Linked DNA regions of Daphnia pulex. The protein of the gene in region 7 binds, or shares a complex with, the protein of the main gene of each other region. Links are inferred from orthologs where the notes say so. Each region holds a gene or a part of one and is shown on either strand. Other genes may lie near its edges. The genes, in order: probable small nuclear ribonucleoprotein G, U6 snRNA-associated Sm-like protein LSm8, thioredoxin-like protein 4A, U4/U6 small nuclear ribonucleoprotein Prp4-like, U5 small nuclear ribonucleoprotein 40 kDa protein-like, U6 snRNA-associated Sm-like protein LSm7 and U6 snRNA-associated Sm-like protein LSm4.

What was found.
Region 1: U6 snRNA-associated Sm-like protein LSm4 (region 7) and probable small nuclear ribonucleoprotein G share a complex: the UniProt entries of both Homo sapiens proteins name them as parts of the U4/U6-U5 tri-snRNP complex. The link is inferred for Daphnia pulex from reciprocal best matches to the Homo sapiens genes LSM4 and SNRPG.
Region 2: U6 snRNA-associated Sm-like protein LSm4 (region 7) and U6 snRNA-associated Sm-like protein LSm8 share a complex: the UniProt entries of both Homo sapiens proteins name them as parts of the precatalytic spliceosome. The link is inferred for Daphnia pulex from reciprocal best matches to the Homo sapiens genes LSM4 and LSM8.
Region 3: U6 snRNA-associated Sm-like protein LSm4 (region 7) and thioredoxin-like protein 4A share a complex: the UniProt entries of both Homo sapiens proteins name them as parts of the precatalytic spliceosome. The link is inferred for Daphnia pulex from reciprocal best matches to the Homo sapiens genes LSM4 and TXNL4A.
Region 4: U6 snRNA-associated Sm-like protein LSm4 (region 7) and U4/U6 small nuclear ribonucleoprotein Prp4-like share a complex: the UniProt entries of both Homo sapiens proteins name them as parts of the precatalytic spliceosome. The link is inferred for Daphnia pulex from reciprocal best matches to the Homo sapiens genes LSM4 and PRPF4.
Region 5: U6 snRNA-associated Sm-like protein LSm4 (region 7) and U5 small nuclear ribonucleoprotein 40 kDa protein-like share a complex: the UniProt entries of both Homo sapiens proteins name them as parts of the U4/U6-U5 tri-snRNP complex. The link is inferred for Daphnia pulex from reciprocal best matches to the Homo sapiens genes LSM4 and SNRNP40.
Region 6: U6 snRNA-associated Sm-like protein LSm4 (region 7) and U6 snRNA-associated Sm-like protein LSm7 share a complex: the UniProt entries of both Homo sapiens proteins name them as parts of the precatalytic spliceosome. The link is inferred for Daphnia pulex from reciprocal best matches to the Homo sapiens genes LSM4 and LSM7.

Annotation. Positions count from the first base shown.
Region 1 is NC_060026.1:11,525,926-11,528,341, reverse strand, and holds probable small nuclear ribonucleoprotein G, read left to right. Parts: upstream 1-1,295; 5' UTR 1,296-1,453; coding exon 1,454-1,485; intron 1,486-1,548; coding exon 1,549-1,571; intron 1,572-1,633; coding exon 1,634-1,758; intron 1,759-1,824; coding exon 1,825-1,878; 3' UTR 1,879-1,916; downstream 1,917-2,416. Other genes in the region: sideroflexin-1-like, read left to right, coding at 46-121, 190-275, 340-467, 530-619, 688-782, 848-907. UniProt on the Homo sapiens protein: Plays a role in pre-mRNA splicing as a core component of the spliceosomal U1, U2, U4 and U5 small nuclear ribonucleoproteins (snRNPs), the building blocks of the spliceosome.
Region 2 is NC_060019.1:331,325-333,608, forward strand, and holds U6 snRNA-associated Sm-like protein LSm8, read left to right. Parts: upstream 1-1,153; 5' UTR 1,154-1,232; coding exon 1,233-1,263; intron 1,264-1,325; coding exon 1,326-1,366; intron 1,367-1,447; coding exon 1,448-1,575; exon of another isoform or gene 1,576-1,641; coding exon 1,642-1,732; 3' UTR 1,733-1,784; downstream 1,785-2,284. Other genes in the region: alpha-ketoglutarate-dependent dioxygenase alkB homolog 7, mitochondrial-like, read right to left, coding at 31-198, 275-559; zinc finger protein 277-like, read right to left, coding at 1,796-1,882, 1,950-2,034, 2,097-2,284. UniProt on the Homo sapiens protein: Plays a role in pre-mRNA splicing as component of the U4/U6-U5 tri-snRNP complex that is involved in spliceosome assembly, and as component of the precatalytic spliceosome (spliceosome B complex).
Region 3 is NC_060018.1:1,947,566-1,950,114, forward strand, and holds thioredoxin-like protein 4A, read left to right. Parts: upstream 1-1,302; 5' UTR 1,303-1,434; coding exon 1,435-1,512; intron 1,513-1,569; coding exon 1,570-1,706; intron 1,707-1,770; coding exon 1,771-1,984; 3' UTR 1,985-2,049; downstream 2,050-2,549. Other genes in the region: polyprenol reductase-like, read right to left, coding at 5-127, 200-394, 461-609, 680-867. UniProt on the Homo sapiens protein: Plays a role in pre-mRNA splicing as component of the U5 snRNP and U4/U6-U5 tri-snRNP complexes that are involved in spliceosome assembly, and as component of the precatalytic spliceosome (spliceosome B complex).
Region 4 is NC_060018.1:6,530,696-6,534,568, reverse strand, and holds U4/U6 small nuclear ribonucleoprotein Prp4-like, read right to left. Parts: upstream 2,387-3,873; 5' UTR 2,247-2,386; coding exon 1,888-2,246; intron 1,829-1,887; coding exon 1,709-1,828; intron 1,646-1,708; coding exon 1,247-1,645; intron 1,187-1,246; coding exon 910-1,186; intron 820-909; coding exon 763-819; intron 700-762; coding exon 613-699; 3' UTR 501-612; downstream 1-500. Other genes in the region: tumor protein p63-regulated gene 1-like protein, read left to right, coding at 83-210, 282-475; splicing factor 3B subunit 4-like, read left to right, coding at 3,387-3,420, 3,486-3,799, 3,860-3,873. UniProt on the Homo sapiens protein: Plays a role in pre-mRNA splicing as component of the U4/U6-U5 tri-snRNP complex that is involved in spliceosome assembly, and as component of the precatalytic spliceosome (spliceosome B complex).
Region 5 is NC_060027.1:3,204,468-3,208,401, reverse strand, and holds U5 small nuclear ribonucleoprotein 40 kDa protein-like, read left to right. Parts: upstream 1-1,134; 5' UTR 1,135-1,477; coding exon 1,478-1,555; intron 1,556-1,711; coding exon 1,712-1,841; intron 1,842-1,904; coding exon 1,905-2,078; intron 2,079-2,140; coding exon 2,141-2,349; intron 2,350-3,275; coding exon 3,276-3,479; intron 3,480-3,537; coding exon 3,538-3,703; intron 3,704-3,774; coding exon 3,775-3,827; 3' UTR 3,828-3,907; downstream 3,908-3,934. Other genes in the region: syndecan-like, read right to left, coding at 22-114. UniProt on the Homo sapiens protein: Required for pre-mRNA splicing as component of the activated spliceosome. Component of the U5 small nuclear ribonucleoprotein (snRNP) complex and the U4/U6-U5 tri-snRNP complex, building blocks of the spliceosome.
Region 6 is NC_060025.1:134,869-137,638, reverse strand, and holds U6 snRNA-associated Sm-like protein LSm7, read left to right. Parts: upstream 1-1,150; 5' UTR 1,151-1,240; coding exon 1,241-1,249; intron 1,250-1,484; coding exon 1,485-1,689; intron 1,690-1,766; coding exon 1,767-1,903; 3' UTR 1,904-2,270; downstream 2,271-2,770. Other genes in the region: XK-related protein 7-like, read left to right, coding at 1-32, 102-338; myotubularin-related protein 10-B-like, read right to left, coding at 2,335-2,522, 2,591-2,770. UniProt on the Homo sapiens protein: Plays a role in pre-mRNA splicing as component of the U4/U6-U5 tri-snRNP complex that is involved in spliceosome assembly, and as component of the precatalytic spliceosome (spliceosome B complex).
Region 7 is NC_060026.1:5,482,078-5,485,760, reverse strand, and holds U6 snRNA-associated Sm-like protein LSm4, read left to right. Parts: upstream 1-1,354; 5' UTR 1,355-1,499; coding exon 1,500-1,502; intron 1,503-1,568; coding exon 1,569-1,610; intron 1,611-1,669; coding exon 1,670-1,768; intron 1,769-1,883; coding exon 1,884-2,064; intron 2,065-2,912; coding exon 2,913-3,001; 3' UTR 3,002-3,183; downstream 3,184-3,683. UniProt on the Homo sapiens protein: Plays a role in pre-mRNA splicing as component of the U4/U6-U5 tri-snRNP complex that is involved in spliceosome assembly, and as component of the precatalytic spliceosome (spliceosome B complex).

The DNA.
Region 1 (2,416 bases), about 6.0 Mb from region 7:
TTTAAATAAATCACTGAAAGTTATAATAATCTATTGATTTTTTAGACAATTGGGTACATCTTATGCACTGGCAACAAGTGGGGCTTTAGTCACTGCTCTTGGTTTGAATAGCTTGACCAAGGTATCAAAAATATTAACTTGATATAATGGACCATAATGTAAATAACTTTATGAGAAATTAATTTTTAGTCAATGTCTCCTATTATTGGGCGTTTGGTACCCTTTGCAGCTGTTGCTGCCGCTAACTGTGTAAATATTCCTCTGATGCGAATGCAGTAAGATAAACATTTTCTCGTCGCATAAGATAACTAATGCTTTAAAATACGACTGATTTTTTAGTGAAATTCAAAAGGGAATCTCAGTTTCTGATGAGAACGGAAATGTACTCGGTGAATCTTCGATTGCTGCCAAATGGGGTATCACTCAAGTTGTCCTTAGTCGTATCGGAATGGCTTCTCCTGGAATGGGTAATTCATGTAATACGATAGTAATCTGATAAAAATAAAACATCCAGCACAATAATATGCAGTCCTACCACCTCTGCTGATGAATTATTTGGATCGAAAGGGCTTCTTGAAGCGATTCCCTTGGTCTGCGGCACCTATTCAAGTTACTTTATGTATGAAACATTAACTATTTATCATGTAGTTGTAAACGGCCAATTATGTATTATTATTTGGCTTACAGGTGGCGTATTACTTACTTTCGCTACTCCAATGTGTTGTGCCCTGTTTCCTCAAAAAGCATCGATTTCGGTTGACAGTCTGGAACCAGAGCTACAGGTAATTTTTTATAGCGTTTTAATGTGGTTCTTGTTTTAACATACATCTTTTCTTTTTTAATTCAGGCAAAGATTCGAAAATCCCCGAATCCCCCAACTGTTGTTTATTACAACAAGGGCCTGTAAATTTGAGTCAATCACTGAATTACTGTGGACGAGTGCAAATATCTCAGTACAAGTTTCTTAGATCAACTAGAAAATGAAAAAAACAACAGAAAAACACATTTAATTAAAGTAACTTCCACAGTTTATTTTTTTTTGCTCAAAGTATATTGGTGTAGTTTCCATTCCAGTTGAGGTAATTGGTAGTCATTTTGCTATAGAAATAAACTGCTAAAAAATATTTTCTTACAGAATTGTAGCTGCTAATTTATACAATTAATTGAAGATCGTAATTTTTTTCCTGTTTTAATAAGGCAAAAAAGCCACAAGCTGTATAAAAAATTCCTTAGCGCGCCAGCGCCCAGCCGCCAGGTCTCGTCGCCGGTCTCGCAAAGCCGCCAGTTTCTAAATTCAATATCTGGCAAACACGCGTTCCTAACGTTTGGCATCGCGCATCGGACATTAAAAACGATCCAAACTTTCTTGGTGTATCACGTTTTTTCCTAGTTGCTTGAAGTTAGTGATATATTCATCAACGTAGATATTAGATATTAGTTATTTCAAACCAAAATGAGCAAGGCCCATCCACCAGAGTTGAAGAAGTATGTATTGTTGCTTAAGTTATATTTACATTTTTAATAATGATCTCTACTTCTTTTGTACAGGTACATGGATAAAAGAATGTCTTGTAAGTATTATTTTTTTGTTAAATTATTATTGAAAACTGTTTTGAAGAATTGTTTTTCACAGTGAAACTGAATGGTGGTAGGAACATTGTTGGGATCTTGAGAGGTTTTGATCCATTCATGAACTTGGTCATTGATGAAACCGTTGAAGAAGTTAAAGATGGTTCGAAAAATAACATAGGGATGGTGGTATGTTTAAAATTAACATGGCATACATAAATTCAAATACCATTAACTATTTATATGTAAATTTAGGTTGTTCGTGGAAACTCAATTATAATGTTGGAAGCACTGGAAAGAATCATGTAGCCTAACTGCTGAAAAATAAATGTCATCCAAATTGTAAATTATTTAAAACATTCCACTTTATTACTCTTTTCTTAGCCATCTTAGCATTGGGTTGAGAGGAATTAAGAATGAAAAGGTTACAAATAAACTGAAAATTAAGGAGTGTTGCAAATAAAACACCATTAGAAGAAATATAATGGCTGGAAATTAATGTTAAATTAAAATTAATAGTAAAAAAATAATGAGAATTCTAAAACAATTTTTCGGTAATGAAAGATTTCATTTATTGACGCTAATTAAACAAATTAAGCTTGATCACGTCAATCACGATGAGAGATTGTGCATGTAATATTATTACCTTATTTATATTATGTGGTATATATAAATAACATAATTCAGCGCCACTGCCAGAAGGTTAGATAGTTGTTGAGCTCGGAATTGTTGAACGCCATCTATGCTCTCCAGACGATACACAAGGGTGGGGCCTATATTCTGATAGACGAAAAATTAACATGAGAGTGACTAGGTCTGGGCAGAGCAATAGATGCCTGGTCGGTTC
Region 2 (2,284 bases), on a different chromosome or scaffold from region 7:
ATAATTTCCAAACGCTGTCATCTATCATACCTTTATGCTGTCCAGATGTGGTTTGATGTGACCATTCTCAGCTAAATCAAGCACATGGACATGCTGCATCGTGGTAGTTGAAAAGGCAAAAGCTCTCAACCGATTTATAACACAGTCATTGACTTGATTCCAAGTAGGTTTCTCTGTTTCCCTGTATCCGTGGATAGCCTTTTGGGTTTCGAATAACAAATGGTGGTCATTCAACAGTCAGACAACCTACGTGAACACGAAATTTCAGACTTACATCATCCCAATGGTCATACTGATACCGGGACCTTTTGAACTTCACCTCCAACTCTTCCAATAGGTTATTCTCTTCTTCAGCACTGATGAAATCTTTGTAGACTTGAAAGTCTTTCTCAAGCATTTGCCTCGTCGCTTCATCGCAGTCGGGAGAGAATTCTAAATTTGGAGAGATCCCGCGGGTCTCTGCGGGAGTTGAGCATGTGCTTCTTGAATGGGAACAAGTAGCACTTAAAGGAATTGCGCGCTTCAAAACTGCACGAATATTGACCAGATAAAGCACCATATCTCGATGCTAAAATATTCAACCATTAAAAGTCGGACATCAAAATATTTCAAATCGGCAATTTTCTGCAAAGAGCAGACGACGTTTGCGTGTGTGTACGTGACATGCCATATTTCGTTTTGATTGCAATCAAATGTAAAAAATGATGTCATTAAAAATGACAGACGGTACTTTATTTAATGGACATGTATATTTAAAATAAATAGATTTAACAAAATTGGGCTGGGGTTAGTCACGCTAATATATTATTTCGTTTAATGTTAATACCTCAAAACCGACCAAATAAAGAATTATACCGCATAATGGAAATGTAGGGCCTATCTGATTTTCAAATTTATTTGATGGCCAAAGAAAACGATTCATCAAAACTCTAGCCTGCTGAGTTCTTCTCCTCACCAACCATTTGATTAACGTCTCGGGAAAATAGCCTCAGGCACCCCTTCTCGATTTCTTTAGTCTTTTTCAAATAACCAATTTCCATACATAAACAAAAATTATATTACTCTATCGAAATCATTAATCACTGAAACATAAGTTTACTACAGTTTGTATGAATTAAATCTGAATAGAATGAATGAAAATACTTTGTTGATATTAAAGTAAAATAAACGGCAACGCTGTATTGCAGACGATTTTTACAAGCCAAATACAAAGTGAAGCGAGTGAAGAAATCATGGCATCAACGTTAGATTCTTACGTTAATCGTGAGTTTTAATTATTATATTGTTTATTATTCACTGAAAAATTGTATCTTTCTTGTTCGCAGGTTCCGTATGTGTTATCACGAGTGATGGGAGGAATTTTATTGTAAGTTGTAACGCCCGATCACAAGGCATCATCCTCACTCAATAAACCGTTTGAAATAATTTCAATGTATTCTTTTTACAGGGTATTCTTAAAGGATTCGATCAGACTATCAACCTTATCATTGACGACAGTCATGAGAGAGTGTTTAGTTCTACCCAGGGAGTTGAACAAGTCCAACTGGGACTGCACATCATCAGAGGAGACAATGTGTATGTTTCATCCACTTATTAGCTGTAAAATAACTCAATCATAACTATTTCTTGTTGTAATTTCAGAGTTTTAATTGGGGAAATTGATAATGAACTTGATTCCAGACTCAATTTATCAGAAATAAGAGCAGAACCACTAGCTCAAATCCACCATTAAAGTTTGCATTATTCCATCATGATCACTTGAAATACAATCTTTTTTACAGCTTTGTAGAATCATTCATTTTTTTACAATTAGCTCTAGTTTAAGCAGTTCTTCTTCAACTACTTTAAGGTTTATGATGGTGTCTTCAGGGATCACTGTTACCTAATTAAATGAAAAATCATGAAAACAAGTTTTTACATTAATAAAAATCAGACTTAATATAATTTACTTGGTCGGTTTCAGTAGAATCATCTGGAATGGTATCTTCTAGCAAACAAAGAAGAGCATCATTTTCATAGGTTGGAAAGTAGTACCTAAAAGTTTATCCAATAAAATAGGATCCACAAATAGAAAATTTTGAATGTATCCGGCTTACTGTGACTGATCCCAAACTGCCCGATCGGGAAGTTTAAAGTGACTGAAGTTTTGCATGTGCTCTCTCAGTTTATCCCGGGATTCAAACTGCTCATCGCAAAGTATGCATTTCTTTTCATGCACTTGTCTCCTGACGTAGTTGACAATCTTAATTTGCTGATAGATACTAAAGCTCTTTTTCAGGCCCAG
Region 3 (2,549 bases), on a different chromosome or scaffold from region 7:
TTACCTTTCCTTAAATTTGCTAAGGATACATGTGCAATATATTGATGATAGTAGGCAAGAGTAAACAAAATTATGCCAAAAATGGGTTGTAAAGGGATATCATTGCTATTTGGTATCCATACAAAATCTAGATTGTTCAACAATAAATTAAAGAAAAGATTATCATGTAATGGGAAAATATTGTGTTGGTAACACCTACCATTTGTACTGGAATAGTCAGCTGAGTATGAAAGTATGACAGTGGCACACCCCCAATAATGTAGATAGCCAACTAAATAATGGCCAAGGTTCATTTTTGAATCAGCAAAAACAGTGACACACAAACATTCATACAACCTCCTGGATGTTTGCAGGAAAAAAAGTACAGCAGCTAATAGTGATAACTCAGGGCTAGCTTTATAAATAGACAATATTTTAACAATACAGAATGAATAAAATTTTGTTAAAATTGTTCAGTTACCTAAAGGATTGTGAGTGTATGGTGATACAAAACTAATGTATGAGGTTACAAGCGTAGATAATTGATTCTTCAACACAATCTTCCACATCATTGTTATGAGAACCAGGAATGTATAGAATACTCCAAACACATAAAAGTGTGTAAACCAACTTAATTTAGCAGATTAAAATAAATTTTTAATTTTAATTGTAAAGGAATCAGCAGTAGTAACTTTAATACCTCTTCGGAATAAGGATAGTTCTGATTGAACTGCCAAATACCTTACCTTCACAACTTTTCCCATAAGAGTAGAGATCAATTATAATCTTTGGTATCCACTTAGTATCAACAACAAACACAAGAATACCAAGAATGGAACTCATGCTCAACAAAATAAAGATGGTAATAACAATGCTTATTGTGATCATGGCCGGTGTTGAGACTATTGGCTATCTTGAAGGAATGGCTGAGTTATTAATTCGTTTAGATTGAAAGCATAGTCGGTTTTCAACAGGTTATGTAAAAAGAGATTTGATTTTACGTAAAAGCACAACTGGTTTTTCGGGTTTCTGAAGGCGACCCCGTGCCATGAAGTCTGAACGAAAAATTGAAAACAAATGATAAGAGGAAGGGGGCCAGGGGGGGAATTCGAAAGTATTGCCACTTGCCAGATCTTAAGAATAATCCCTTATTAGAAATAAATTTTATTTTACTTTTAAAATGTTTTATTAGTAAAACTTTAAATATTTTATAGTTAACTATACACATTTTTATACTGTTAAATATGTTTATATTCCTTGGGAGTTGGGAATGAATTTGTAAAGAAAGTGGATGAAAATTTCACACACAGATGTCGTGTTACTCGTGAAGTTGACAGACGCATTATTTACCTTTTTCGGGTTTCTGAAAGGAAAGGTTTGAAAACGTGAAGCGAGATCTATTTCTAAGCACTGTTCAGCTTTTTCTTTTTTCACGACCTTTATCAATCAAACAATATGTCTTACATGTTACAGCATCTTGTTAATGGTTGGCAAGTAGATCAAGCAATTCTTTCAGAAGAGGACCGTTTAGTGGTAAATCAAACTTTCTCTAGTTAATATTACTATCAATTTAAACATGCTTTACTACAGGTTATTCGTTTTGGTCATGATTGGGACCCAACTTGCATGAAAATGGATGAAGTGCTTTATCAAATTGCAGAGAAAGTCAAGAACTTTGCTGTCATCTATTTAGTGGATATCACCCAAGTTCCTGACTTCAATAAGATGTAATTTCATATTTACATTGTATGAATGAATCCCAATAATGATTTTCACTGTTTTTCTATATAGGTACGAGTTGTATGATCCTTGCACAAACATGTTTTTCTTCCGTAACAAACACATTATGATAGATTTAGGCACTGGTAACAACAATAAAATCAACTGGGCAATAGAAGATAAACAAGAAATGATTGACATTGTGGAAACAGTCTATCGTGGAGCCAGAAAAGGTCGAGGTTTGGTTGTTTCACCGAAAGATTATTCTACCAAATATCGCTATTAACTGTGTTGTTCAATTAAATGACACTGGATTAAAAACTAATAAATGATGACACTTTTGAATCCCCATTTTCATAAATTGTTTGTCTCATAAATTGACCATCAAGTAAACACATCGTACAACAATCGTTACAACAATTACATTATATTACTTACGGTTAGGTTTCCGAACAGTGATTTAACTTACCATGAAAATTTATTTCAATTATTTTATATTTTACGTATACCGTACGTAGTTATTAGCAGGTAACGAATACTTCCCAAAAAGAACTCGAGATAGAGTGACATGTCCATTTAGTTTAAACTTAAGCCACTAGGTGCTCGACACTATGGCGGCAGTCTGTTTCCTGCCTGTTTCTTGTTTCGCCCCGTCAGATTAAATGAATGTAACCGTTTCAATAGCTCGGTTAGAACAATGTGTCATATACCCCTAAGTGAAGACATCAAAACTTTTTACTTATGAATGTGCTGATCCCCATGAAAGTACCATAAAGTGAAGAGGATAACAGGTGTTTACAGCCGGTGGCCGTCCAACAACGAACTTGTACTTATTGAACTCCGTGTGCACC
Region 4 (3,873 bases), on a different chromosome or scaffold from region 7:
AAATCAGACATGACACATTGATACGTTATAATGTAGAAATGTCGAACAAAAGTTTTCAAGAAAGTTCTTGCTTTGGAATTAGATTGAAAAGAAACGGCGTCCGAATTTTGTTTGGGTCCGTGCCGGCAGAACCCAATTTTACCCAGTTATGGAATCCATGGAGCAAGGCAATTCCCTGGTTAACGTTTTTATCGCATCCACTACTTTCAAGTAAAAAGATTGCAATTCTGTTAATCATTATTCGATGGATGTTAACTCTTATTTTTACCTATGAATTTTAGCTGAACACACGACTCCTGCTATATTCGACGTTAAAGATTTTACAGTCAACCTACAGCGAACTTTGCAAAACGAGTACCAGGGTTTAGTTGAATACAAGCCAATTATAATGAATTCGTATTTAGGGCTTCCAGCATTAGTACACAACTACAGTCAATTCGGATTTTACAAAGTACGAGGGAAAGTAAGTTTTTAATACTCCACCCAATCTTCCCAACCAATAGGCTTCAACTTTTTTGTATTTAATTTATTAATGTTTTCGAAGTCCAATACACAAATAAAGAAATCAAACAAGCATGGTCGTCTTCGAAGCTGCACTCTATACTTCTACATTTATTCAGGGGACCAAAGCTTGTAAGTGCGATCGTACGAGGCTGTGGCGATGAACGACCCGTCAGGCGATACATCAACTGCCATAACCTGTAACAATAAAATAAAAAAATTGAGAAACACATCACAAACGTATCTGATTAAAAAATTTACTTTTCCGTCATGTCCCGAAAGGGTTTTCAATGGTTGCCAAGTGTTACTCGCCCATATCTAGGGCAGAAAATTATTTCAAATATATATAGATGACAAATGTAACATTTAAAGAATGCAGAAAGAAAATCTATTAATGATTATTCATACCTTTGCGGTACAGTCATATGAAGATGAGACAATATACTGTCCGGAACTTCTTTCGAATTTCACGCTCGACACTAAATTTGTGTGTGCAGGAATAGTATAGATACAGGATCTCTTACGTAAATCCCATATTTTACAGGTATTGTCTTCACTTCCAGTTACTATGTGGTAGCCATTAGGTGATATATCGATGCCCAAGACACCTTTTAAATGACCTTCCATAAACATGATGCAGCGCCCAGTTCTGAGGTCCCATACTCGACCAAAAGAGTCCATGCCACTAGAAAAAATTCCACATGTAATTAAAATATTATGTTAACATATTTTTAGGTGTTGGTACCCTGTGATAGCCACTGAACCATCAACATTGAATGCTATGTTGTATACAGGTTTGGAATGCCCTTCTTGATGAAGAACTTCTACACCCTGTTCTAGATCCCATAGCCTCCAGGAATTATCAAAAACACATGTAGCTAAAAATCTTCCAGAAGGATGAAATTCAACTTTTGACACTCGATGCGGAGCATGTCCTTCCATATCAGCAATCGGCTCTTCACTTTCTAAATTCCACAATTTGACTGCGCCGTCCATGGAACATGAAGCCATATTTAATTCTGAAGGTTCTAAGCTCAAGGTGGCTTGTGGATGGAAGACTATTGCTCCAACACTACACTTGTGGCCTCTCAATGAATGAGACAAAGTGCAGTCAGGTACATTCCACAATTTACACAGGCCACTCCTAAAACATGAATTGTTTTTTATTATCTGATTAACTCTCTTACAATCTCAGAATATTTAATACCAGGAGGCAGTGGCCAACAAATTTCCACTTGGGCTGAATTGGCAATATGATATTGGTCTTCCATCACCAACTTGGCTGCACATGATGTTCATACCTCTCATCCGTTTCACCATTTCCTGCCTGGAAAAGAAAAAATATATTAATTGGGATGTGCTTTCATAACAGAGCATATTTCAGACCTTTTGGCTGTTCTTGTTGATTCTGGTATTTCAGATTCAAGTTTCACATTAGATAACCTTTGTTTTGCTCTGGGGAGGGAATAATATGCTAACCACAAACGAGCAATTTTGAGTGATTCAGGACCTTCATGATACCAAGTGGTTTCAGTTTGATCTTTCTCAACCTTCACAATTTCTTTTTCATCTTCTTTTTTTCTATCGATCAAATCATGTCCATGAACCGAGAGTAACTCTTTTAATCTATTTCGGCGATCAGCAGGTCCTTCACCAAAAAGGGTTATTGGTTCACCTAATTGCCTAAGATGTTTCCGAATTTCCCCATCGTCAATTGTGATAGCGAAACCGGTTGTGGACGACATGTTTAAAGAAATGTGTTTTCTAATTGAACTTTTCCTGTTTTGATCTCAATGTTTAAATATTATAGACACCGACACCTCGTTTTGTCACGTTTTTGTTGTCAATACGATCGTTCTTAAATCTTAAATAGACTTTTACAAGCCAGACGACTCCCAAACGAAAAGCGACTTACGGTATGAAAAAATCATGTGCAGCATACAGAGCCACTGGTGGAAAACTGGAAAACTATGTTCCATGTACTCATTCTTCGGATAATAAACTGCCGCTCGCAAAAGAAATTTTAAATTATGATGTGTGATTTATTACACTACCTAATATACAAAACAGCCAGTCTGAATAATACCTGAATACTGAATCTTCGGTTTATATTACCAATTTGTGATTTCGATTAGAAAAAAATTATTCGCACTCATAGTGCAGCACATGCCCATCTGGGATTTTTTTCCAAAAATGATTTTGTTGCAACCTATAAAATTGAGGTTCAGCTCAGCATACAGTTGTTAATAGCATAAAATGCCTGATATGCGATCGATTACACATGCAGCAGACTGTGTAACAGACTGTGTAACAGGCCAATTTGGTGTACGGAAACATTAGGGAGTATACTAGGCCTAGTATAGGGACATAACCAAAAATGATGTTTGAAATATCAGATTGTCAGTTCAAAATTTGGTTATCCATTTTATGCATCTAATTTTAGAAAACTGTATAATAACTACAAAGAATTGTTCTTAATAAAGATCTGTATGAGAGGGAAAGGAATAAAGGATGTATTCTATTAACGCTTTAGATACAGAAATTTTATATTCTTAGTATTTCGTAGGATTTCCGGATATAATTATACATGCTTAAACACGGCATTATTTATTGGAATTTGGCAATTTGCAAAGAGACACAAGACACCACACAGACTAAGATTTGAAAACCTGTCGGATCCTTCCGCCCTTGCCGCTATTGAGTGTGTGGGCCGGTCTTTAGCTCCGGGCGTCATCTAGTTGGAGCTTGGTTAGTCAAAAGCACTGGCATAGGAAAACTGATCGCTTGACCGGCCTTCAATAATACAAGGCAGACACACTCAAACAAGCATTTTATATTTTGGAAGTTTGCAAATTTCAGGTGGAAACTATTTGGTTACTTTCAGCATGGCTGCTGGACCTGTTTCAGAAAGAAATCAAGGTAAGAAATTTAAGTTTATTATGCACTAAAATGAAATGACTATGTGAAATTTTTATCATTTTCAGATGCTACCATTTATGTTGGTGGGTTAGACGAAAAAGTTACGGAGCCCTTGCTGTGGGAGTTGTTCGTTCAAGGTGGTCCTGTAGTAAATGTGCATATGCCTAAAGATCGGATTACTTTACTGCATCAAGGATACGGATTCATAGAATTCCTCAGTGAAGATGATGCTGACTACGCATGTAAAATTATGAACATGATAAAGCTGTATGGTAAACCCATTCGGGTAAACAAAGCATCAGCACACCAGAAAAACTTAGATGTTGGAGCAAATATTTTCATTGGAAACTTAGATCCTGAAGTTGATGAAAAACTTTTGGTAACCAATCAGCATTCCTTTAGGTTCAAAACACAATTTAATCTATTATTGCTTTTTTAGTATGACACATTTTC
Region 5 (3,934 bases), on a different chromosome or scaffold from region 7:
AAAAAGTGGTGGCATTCTTACCTTGGCAACCGATGATGCACTGTTGATGTTACTGCTAACCGAATGTGCAGCCAAAAAGGCGATGAAAATCGCCATATGTATTCTGGGATTCATTTTTGAGAGAATTTCCTGAGCGTTTGAGAGTCTGCCTTACGTGTGTGTGAGAGGGTGGAGAGAGAGATTTTTTCAGTATTATTTATTTTAAGAGCCGGATATCCGTTTCTAAAGTTTTCTTCCAAGATTTTTGTGTTATTTCAATACAAAAGTGGAGAACGTGGTCGAATAAATTAGGATAGTTGCAGCCTTTTGTCCGTTTTTCTAATTTTCTAAACACAGACGGTGATGCTCTCAGGTCAGGCTGGGCATTTTCTTTCTTTCTTTCACACTTCTTCTCTCTCACAGGCGCGCACTCAACCACACAGTTCACTGGTGAAGCCAAAACGATGGCCGAGTTTTACTCGTCGATTCGGGGACGGAATGTTAAATATCAACAGAACAAAAAGAGTTGCCGGGAATTGGCGTGATTTCGAGACACTTCTCGATGTAACCAAAGGCCGAAATGGATTAAAAGATCCCAACTCACGCCCAGATCATCAAACACACCAGCCGAGAGCCGCCATTAAACTGAAGGGACTGGATTTTTCTTTGTGTCCCTCCGCCGCCATTGGGTACCAAAAACTCTGCCATCTGGCGGCAGTTTTCAGCTCCTCCCCACTTTCTCCTCCAACAACATAGACGTGGAAATTATACGGACGAATGTAAACCACACACACGGGAAAGAAAAGGAAAAACAAAAATCAATCTCATCATTTCCTCATCATGTTGGGAAAAAATGAATGACTCAATTTAGGTCATGGATTCAGCGCTCAAAATATCTTCATCTCGAGAGACTAGTTTTGTTCTTTCCGACGCACCAAATTTCGTTGGAATGGAAAAGAAATCCCAGACATAGCGACTATCACATATACTGGTGAAGTCGTTTTCTTGCGAGTGTTAAAAAACTAGAAGGTCCTCTGTTCTATAGTCACACGGACACACAAAACTTAAGAAAATATCGAGGGGAGAGATTTAATGTTTGTTGTTTCTCCCTCCTTCTTCTAACACTCCTTTTCTTTTTTTACGATCGTGGGTTCGCCTGTTTTCCGGCCCCAATAATACCCATTGTTTTCCAAGACTGCGCGGGTGTTCATGAAATTCCTCGAGTTACAACTTCTTTTTCCCAAAAAAAGAAAGAGAAAAAGGGTTCGGAAATTCTTGAGCGATATACCACTGTGACAGCTTTTCCCCATCTCAATTTTTATTCTTTTATTATACCAAAGTCTTTCCAAGTTTCCAACAAGATTTGGAAAAGGCGACCACTATAAAATATAGATCTAGCAAGAAAAGGCTTCTGCTCCGTCAGTAGTAGTTGTCAAAACTTTTTCACTTTTTTTTTCTACAACTTGAAAATTTTCTTAAAAGTCTAGAAGCCGGAGCAATGGCGCTTGTGTCAGTAAACAATCCCAGCAATAATGAATTGGTGTCGGCCACCTCGGGTCAAGTGGCCCTGCAACAGGTTTGATTTATTTGTGTTTTATTTATAAACTTTTAAATGAGCCGAATGCATCACAAAAGAGAATTGCATCCAACCACATGCTGACCAGCTTGTGTGTTTTGTTGTTGTAGATGCTATGATGAATTCAAATGTGATATTGACTTTTTCAATAAACAGGGACCAGCAAGAACGTCTAGCCTCATGGCTCCTATAATGCTCCTGGCAGGACATCCTGGAGATATCTTTAGCCTGAAGTTCCATCCTGACGGCCAGTTTTTGGTTTCCACCGGGTTCGACAGACAAATATGTAAGCATCATATATACATTTGAGCATCTCTACTGTTTGGATAATCAACCTCTTGTTCAACAGTTTTGTGGAATGTTTATGGAGAGTGTGAAAACTTTGCTGTGTTGTCTGGTCACACCGGAGCAGTAATGGATCTTCAGCTGTCTACCGATGGTGATACCATTTACACTGCTAGTACAGACAAAACCATTTGTTTGTGGGACACCAGAACAGGAGCTAAAATCAAGAAACTGAAAGGTATACCATTGTCACTGTCCCATTATTTAGCAATTGAACCCAACAACAATTTGTTTCAACAGGCCACTCCTCCTTTGTCAATGCTATTCATCCTGCACGAAGAGGACCTCCTCTTCTCTGCAGCGCCTCAGATGACTGCAACATCAAAGTCTGGGATCCAAGAAAAAGAACCGAGACAGTATCATTAGATAATTCTTACCAAGCGACTTCCGTCACCTTCAACGATACCGCCGAACAAGTCATTTCCGCAGGCATCGACAACGATGTTAAGGTGAGTTCGCAAAATTCAATTGTTGTAATAGAGAGAGAGAGAGAGAGAAGAAAAACTATGGGACCAATTTCCAAGAATTTGAATTAAGCCACCGATTCGGCGAACTTCATATTCCGTGTGAGTGGGAGAAAGTCACAAACTTGAGTATTTTTCTTACAGAATTGATTAAAGTTCTCAGTATTTTTACTTGATGGCTTCAAGAGAATAGTTTGGCAAAAAAGGAAGGACCTGCAGTCATATTCTGTCTTTGTTGTAAAAACTAAAGTTTCGACATTGTTGATTGTTTTCTACTTAATATTGAACCATATTCGTGCAAGTTCTGTCTTACCCTATCATCGAGTTCATTTTCCTTGAAGAGTGCAAGGGATTTCAACTTTGGTATTCTGATTATCGCGTGTCTCACCTTGATAAGGTCACCAAGTCCTTCCTTACTTCCAGGGCCCCTTCTCTTTGATATATGAATGGGTTCACTAATGTAAGCTCGTAGGCGAAGTTTTTAAAATTAATTCAAGTAATTTCAGCAGTAGGGTCTCGTCAAATGTCCTAATTCCATCCTAATTACTGAAGATGCGCATTTTTGTGTTTTGTCAGTTTGAGGCAAATGTGAAACGCTGGAAGCGGATTCTGATACTTCTTTGCTTGTCAGATGGTTGCACATTATCGATCAAAACTTTTCCCCGTAATACTTATGACAATTTTGCGACATCTTTAGGAAGAATTTACTCTGAAAAATAGATAATTTTCACTTTTTATCGATTATCTTTTCGTTCGAACTAAACCCATGTTAAGTTTTCTCCTTTTTTTGGAAGATATTCATTTTAAAACCTGAAAAGTAGTTTTGCATTTGCGATATTTCAACTGGTCCTGGCCTTGAGCTATTCACGTGAATATGGAGAGATAGGTAAATCATACACTTTCCTTTTTAGGTCTGGGACTTGAGAAAAAATGCTCTCCTCTACTCCTTGAAGGGCCATTCCGACACTGTGACCGGCTTGACTCTCAGTCCTGATGGATCTTACGTGTTGTCAAACTCGATGGACAACTCTTTACGTGTCTGGGATGTACGACCTTTCGCTCCTCAAGAACGTTGTATCAAAATGATGGTTGGCCATGCTCACAACTTTGAAAAGGTATATACAATGCCGGCGAATTTCTCAATCCATTCTAATACCTTGTGTAATGTTATAGAATTTACTTCGCTGCTCATGGTCACCTGACGGAACCAAAGTTTCAGCGGGATCTGCCGACCGATTCGTTTACATTTGGGACACTACATCTCGCCGCATCATTTACAAATTACCTGGTCACAACGGAAGTGTCAATGACGTTGTATTTCATCCTAAGGAACCTATTGGTAATTTACGCAGCAAATCAACATCAAGGACATCAATTAATTTCAGATTTTTTATTTTGAATGAAACATAGTTGCATCCGGTGCCAGTGACAAGCTGATTTACCTAGGCGAAATTGACGCTTAATTAGGAAAGGTTATAATTTTTTTCAGTTGAAACGATGGCAAGGATCGAGGACGAATAAACAAATAATTCTTTTACGCATATTTACAAAATTGCATTTAAATTAATCG
Region 6 (2,770 bases), on a different chromosome or scaffold from region 7:
ACCCTCGATTCTCACCTGCCATGTATCAGTCGGTGAGTTAACAATTCTTGATTTAAAAAATTTATGCATTTAACTATATTATCGATTTGATGGGGTCATAGGTCTGCTTGTGCGAGAATGTGATCCTTATGATCCTGTGGATGGAAAGTTTGAGCAAAGGCGATGATTGGGATATAATAAGGCTTTACTGGATCATTCAGTTTGTGACGACTCTTACCAGTTTCGCATTGTTTTGGTGGGTTAAAGAAATCAACAAAATGCTGCGGGAACGCGACACTAGCCCAACTCAAACAGAAAACCAGCCGACATCAGAAACAGCCTTAACCTTATCGCCATAAATTGTTGATTTTCTAACATGGCCATAACCTTATTTGCTCCTGTTTAATTGTCACGTTAAGAGTGATCTTGACTTTAATACAGAATCACACCTCTATCTGCCACCTCTGCTGTAACTTGTAAGCTGACAGTATGAAAGTCTCTATCTAATGACATGTAACATTTTTCTCTTACAGTTTTTAACCTTAAGGAATGGTAGATCATTTGATTGACACTTACCCCAAGACAAAGTGATTGGCTGGACTCAATTGGATTCCATTATTCAAAAGTGGCAGCTGGCAGGATCAGACTCAACGATACAGCAGAGCAGGCTACTATCCAGGATCAGTTCAATTTTAACCTGAAGAAAAAAGATTTCCCATTTAAAAAACTCGTTTACTGTTCGGTGTAGATAGACAGAAAATTTGAAATATCAAAAGAATCGTTCTTTTCAGATTGTCAGGCCGCGACGACTAAGATGAGTGGAGGGAATCGTGATAGGAATCTATCAAATATCGTATTGTTCTTTTTGTTGTTGGCATTCAATAAATTGACCAGCTCCTCATGAACACCAATACAGTGTCGGAATAGTATCAAGTAATCTGATTTCGTCTTATAGAATTCAAATCAAGCAGAGTTACATCGAAACTTGACTCATCATATTGCCTGCAAATGTGGGACCGTTGCCAGTCCATCTCCGGTCCAAACTGATGAGGCTTTCAATAAATCCACAGTAAAAAAAAACGCCATCTAAAATATTCAATGAATGGAAAAATAATTATAAAGAAAAGATTTGAAAAAAAGAGTGGTTAAAATATTCATTGAAATCAATATTTGGCACCGGTGCTGCGCTATTCCGATTTTGATTTTTACAACATTGCAGACGACTCTATTGTTTTCTGTACACCAAACCCAAACGGCAAAAATGGCAGCCGTAAGTATTTAATTTACTAAATGAATTAGTGGTCTATAATCCCAAGACATGAAATGACAAGCACTGAATATATTTAAGCTATGAATAATGTCTGAAAAACATTGATCTGCCTGTCGTAAATTGGGTACAATTAATAGCAATGCGTCACGTCACTCATGGCTTTTATTGGCTACTGCTTTAGAATTACATCATTCTGGGTTTTGCTAATAACGTTATTCATTTCCTTTCTTTTTAGCAAAAGGTCGATAAATCCACACCGGCAACAGGTAGCCCAGCAGATTTAAAGGAGAAGAAGAAGGAAAGAATCTTGGACTTGTCCCGTTACATGGACAAGTTGATCAGAGTCAAGTTTACCGGAGGCAGAGAGGCAGCTGGTATACTTAAAGGTTACGATCCTCTACTCAACATTGTCCTGGACAACACGGTAGAATATCTAAGAGGTAAGACTTGAGAACTACCACAAATTGTATGTGAAACAAGATTGACTTAAAATTCCTGTTATGTCTTGTATTTCTAGATTCGGAAGATTCATTCAAGTTGTCAGAAGACACCAGACAGTTGGGCTTGGTGGTTTGTCGTGGAACAGCTGTTGTTCTCATCTGCCCTGCTGACGGTATGGAAGCCATTGCCAACCCTTTCATTCAACCAGAATAATTGATTTTTTTTTTCTAAATTGAACCAATGATCATTTGTCTGTGTGTTGTTTCCCAATTTTCCAATAATAAAAGAACGAGAAAAAGGTGAAATAGTATAATAATATTATTAAAATCCTTCAAAAAAACGGATAGGTAAAAGAACACGGATCGACAATGATAATAATACGATGATTTGAATAAATGATTCAATTTTTATGCAATTATATAGCAGTAATGCAAAACAGAATTATATTTTTAGAAGGCGATTAGAAAAGAGCCTACGAAGGTCGAATTCATATTTATGTACTTTTAAGTGTAGGAAAATTGGAGAGGCACCGTCTCATCTTTCTGTGTGAATGTCACAACATTCGGCCGTCAAACGAACTGGACAACGTGAAATGAATCGAGAGGAAAATTCTAAAGGCAATGATAATAACTGATGTTCAAATCTCAATCGGTGACAAAAGAGTCGGAATCGAATTCAGCTTCGACGGCCCGACTTCCAGTCGAACGGAGTGTGGAGCCGGAAATGACGGGCGAAGGAACAATTTCCCACTCGCCGAATGACAAGGCAGAATCGTTTTGTTGCTGGACGAACGGGTGGAAGCTGCTCAGCGTCACCTGACTTCCAGGTTGGCCTGAATAAGAAATCAAAATTAAGAAAAAACAAACAAACAATTGAAAGTGAGTCGACAGCGGTTGATACCCGGTGAATGGTCGCTCATGGTGACGAAACGTTGACTTGGCGACGAAGAAATGTCCGCCTCGCCATTGTTACTCAAGTCGTGCTGCAACTGGCACTGGTGCAATTTGTCCAGCTGCGATTCTAGACTGAGAATGTCGTTGACCAAGGCGCAGTGATGGAAATAGACGGGCGGATGTCCAC
Region 7 (3,683 bases):
CTTCCATTAACTGTTTAGCCTTTTTGGCATCAGCGTCGTTATTAAACTTAAACCGAGCTATATTGTCTCTCTTAGTGAAAGACTGCAGCGTCAGATACTCCGAATTACTTTTAAAGAACTCATCCATAGCATCACCGATAAAATTGCTCGTGTCCACATCCGGATCTAGCTTAGCAATGATGGTGACCGACTTCGAGGCCACTGCCGCATAGGATTTACCTAGCTGCGAGTCCATTCCACTAGGTGGCTCATTCTCCTTAGTCGGCTGCCCATCACCGAATAACCCATTCAAGAACCTATTTGCAATTTTAACCTTGATGCTGGTTAGCTCACTTTCTATCTCTTTAGTATGACTGATAATGCACTCTTTCTCTTGAATGAGCGTCTCTCTTTCCTCTTTTAAATCCTTTATTAGTATATTATCATGTCTTCTCTCGACATGTCGGTCAGAGAATTCTGGCTATTGTTCTGTACACTAAGTGTACGTTTCCGTTTCTCACCATTGGTGCCACCAATACTTGATCTAGGTCTAGAGTACATTATTTTACACACCTCAGAGCAATAAAGATGATTTCCCTGCCATACTCCCTCCTATACGACGGAAATTCCGTCGTATAGGGGGTATATATTACACGAGCGAAGAAAGGCAACTTGCGTCACTTATTGATCAAGAAAAACTGAAGGTATATTTTTTAAAATAATTTAATGTCGTAGTGAATAGTGATCTAGTAACCACTACTTTGCCATTCATTTAGGCTATCAAACGACCAGTTGGAATAGCTTTTATAACCTTCGCCTCAAACATTCAAGCAGCGAGGGTAAGCCAAGATCATAGGCCCAATTGGCGATGTGGATCAATCCCAGAAAGCTCGAGCCTGATTGTTATCTTTAAGCCTCACCGTTGGTCCGTTGATTTTGCTCCACGTCCAGATGAGATCAATTGGTAACTAGATTAAATTAATTAAGGTTAATTCAAGTTCTATAATTATCCTCTGTCGTATAGGAGGGAGTATAGGATTAGTCAAGCATAAAATAATTTCTAGTTCGGCTATACGCCACAGTGGTACGCATTGGCGTAAGCTTCGCACGACTTTTGGCTATGTCGCGTACTTTTGAATTGCAATAAGATCTATTCGGCTGCGTCAATAGTCAATACAATACGTGTTACTGATGTATCGCGAATAACGTTCAGGATCAGCGCAGTGTTAATGGTTTATTTTACGTTACGTTTTTACGGGTTTATACGTTAATGGATTATTGGTCCTGATTGATCTTGTCCATTCGGAACCGTTCCGAACACAGCCGCCTATTTTATAACATTTCCCAACACACCCGCTGTGGCGCGGTGTAAAGGATTGGCCGATCGCACGATAGATGGTGTTTCTGCTTCATAAATCTTTGATCTTTGATTTCCATTTTCCAACCACTTAAAACCTAGGAGAAACCTTTTTCTTAATTATTAATTGGAACATATCGAGAACAATAATATTAAATCAATTATGGTAACTATTGAGTTTTGTGCTTCATACCGAATCATCGAAGATTAATTTAATTATTTATTTATCTAGTTACCTTTGTCGCTACTACGTACAGCCCAGAATCATCCCATGGTAAGCATTTTTTACTTTTGTTATTTACAGCAATAAAACTAGTGTTTCAATATTTACAGTTAGTGGAATTGAAAAATGGGGAGACTTACAATGGCCACTTGGTGAGTTGTGATAACTGGATGAACATCAATCTACGAGAAGTAATTTGCACCTCCAAGGTAAAGTACTTTCATTTAAGATAGTTCCGTCATCTGTATCTGTCAGTGATATTCTTGAATACGATCATAAGGTTTTACATATAATATTTAATGAACAAAAATACAATTTCTTTAGGATGGTGACAGATTTTGGAGAATGCCTGAGTGTTACATTAGAGGCAGTACCATCAAATATCTTCGAATTCCAGATGAAGTCATTGATATGGTTAAGGAAGAAGTAGTTGCAAAAGGTCGTGGTCGCAGTGATGGTAAAGGAAGAGGTGGAGCCCAAAGAGGAGGCAGAGGTGGTAGTAGAGGTATGTTTTAAATGCCAAAATTTTCTCACTCATTATCAATTAAGTTAATGGGGTATACAAAACAATTTTATTCGTAGTCTTAATATTGTTTTAGTCATGAATATTATTGAACAAGTACCAAGTTATAACAGTATTATACAAAATTTTCTGATAATGGTCCAATGGGATAAATATAGTACAATCACTTAATGCTCAAATGATTGTACAATAACTAATGTATGTTTGACTTCTTGTTAATCTCATTATTCTAGAATCATGTTCAGTATATCGTAGCTTTATTTTTAAATTACGTCGTTTCGTGTCATTTGACGAATGAATAGCTAAACATCCTATCTGCACATTCAGGAATGCCTGCTCTTATGGTTTAAAAATGAAATCTATCTACTATGTAGAGGTTTATAATTTGTTTTTTATTGATTATTATTTCAAGAGGTACATGCCGCGTCTCTTACTTGAATACTGATAATAAATTAATTTTAATATTAATTAAAAATAGGAATTTATAAAATTAATTATTTAATCTTTTCACGTTTTTTTATATTTTATTTTAACCTTCCAAAAAAAGTTTACAGTTTAATGAAGTATAGTACTACCTAGGTAATGTTTCTCAGTCGTGTACATTATTATAACTTACATTATTTCCTTTTACTAAGCGTTAGCTTATCGCAGCTACACGAATGTGCGTCAAACTCAAATTAATAGTTAATGATTGATTGAATCGATGGGATTATTTTAATTTTATTATTTAATATTTTTATTTTAAAACATATAGGCTTCGTTGACGTATAATATGGAGCATGCATATTCCTATTGATATGATATAAAATTATTCTTGTGTTGACCATCAGGTTCTTTTGGTGCTTCAAGAGGTCGAGGCGCGCCGTCGGGACGAGGTGGTGGTGGTGGTGGTGGCAATAATAAACCCCGTGGAAAGTAAATAAACTTGTCAGAATGAATGTATGAAAATAAAAATATGGCCAAGTCTTGATTTATTCGAGACGCTTTCTGTTTTGATAAAAAGATGGAAGCACTTATCTCATTCTTTCTCTTCACATTAATTTTACATGCTTAAAATAAGCCCATAAAACCTTTAGGCTGAAATACACCAAGAAACTGAAATATTTAGAAGAGAAGAAGCCCTTGTGGACTTGTAATAACACGCTGCACCTTCAGCTGTTTTGCTGCATATTTCATAAGTCAGTAGGTGCGGCGTAGTAAGAGTGGATGTGTCGGATCGTTCGTTGCCAACTGGCAAAGCGACAGCGAAAATCGTTGTTAGCACAGAAGATTCAGATGCCCATTTTTAATAACGAATGAAAACAAATGTTTTGTTTTTGCAGAAAGTTCGGCGCGCTTAATAAATGTCAAATGTGTATACATATTTTGAAGCATGAAAGTTTTTCGTTTGTTATAGATACTTTCTGCGTTATAGATACTTTGAACTTGAATGCTCACCAAATTCAGTACAAAAGCAAAAGCCATACCACTAATTTTAGAGCGACACCATAATACATCTTCCATTTTCTCGCTCAGTTGCATTCGAACGTAAAATACAATTAGCTCGTAATTACGATTTAGTTCTTAATTATTTGTCAGACGTTTGCAATAGTAAATTCGCC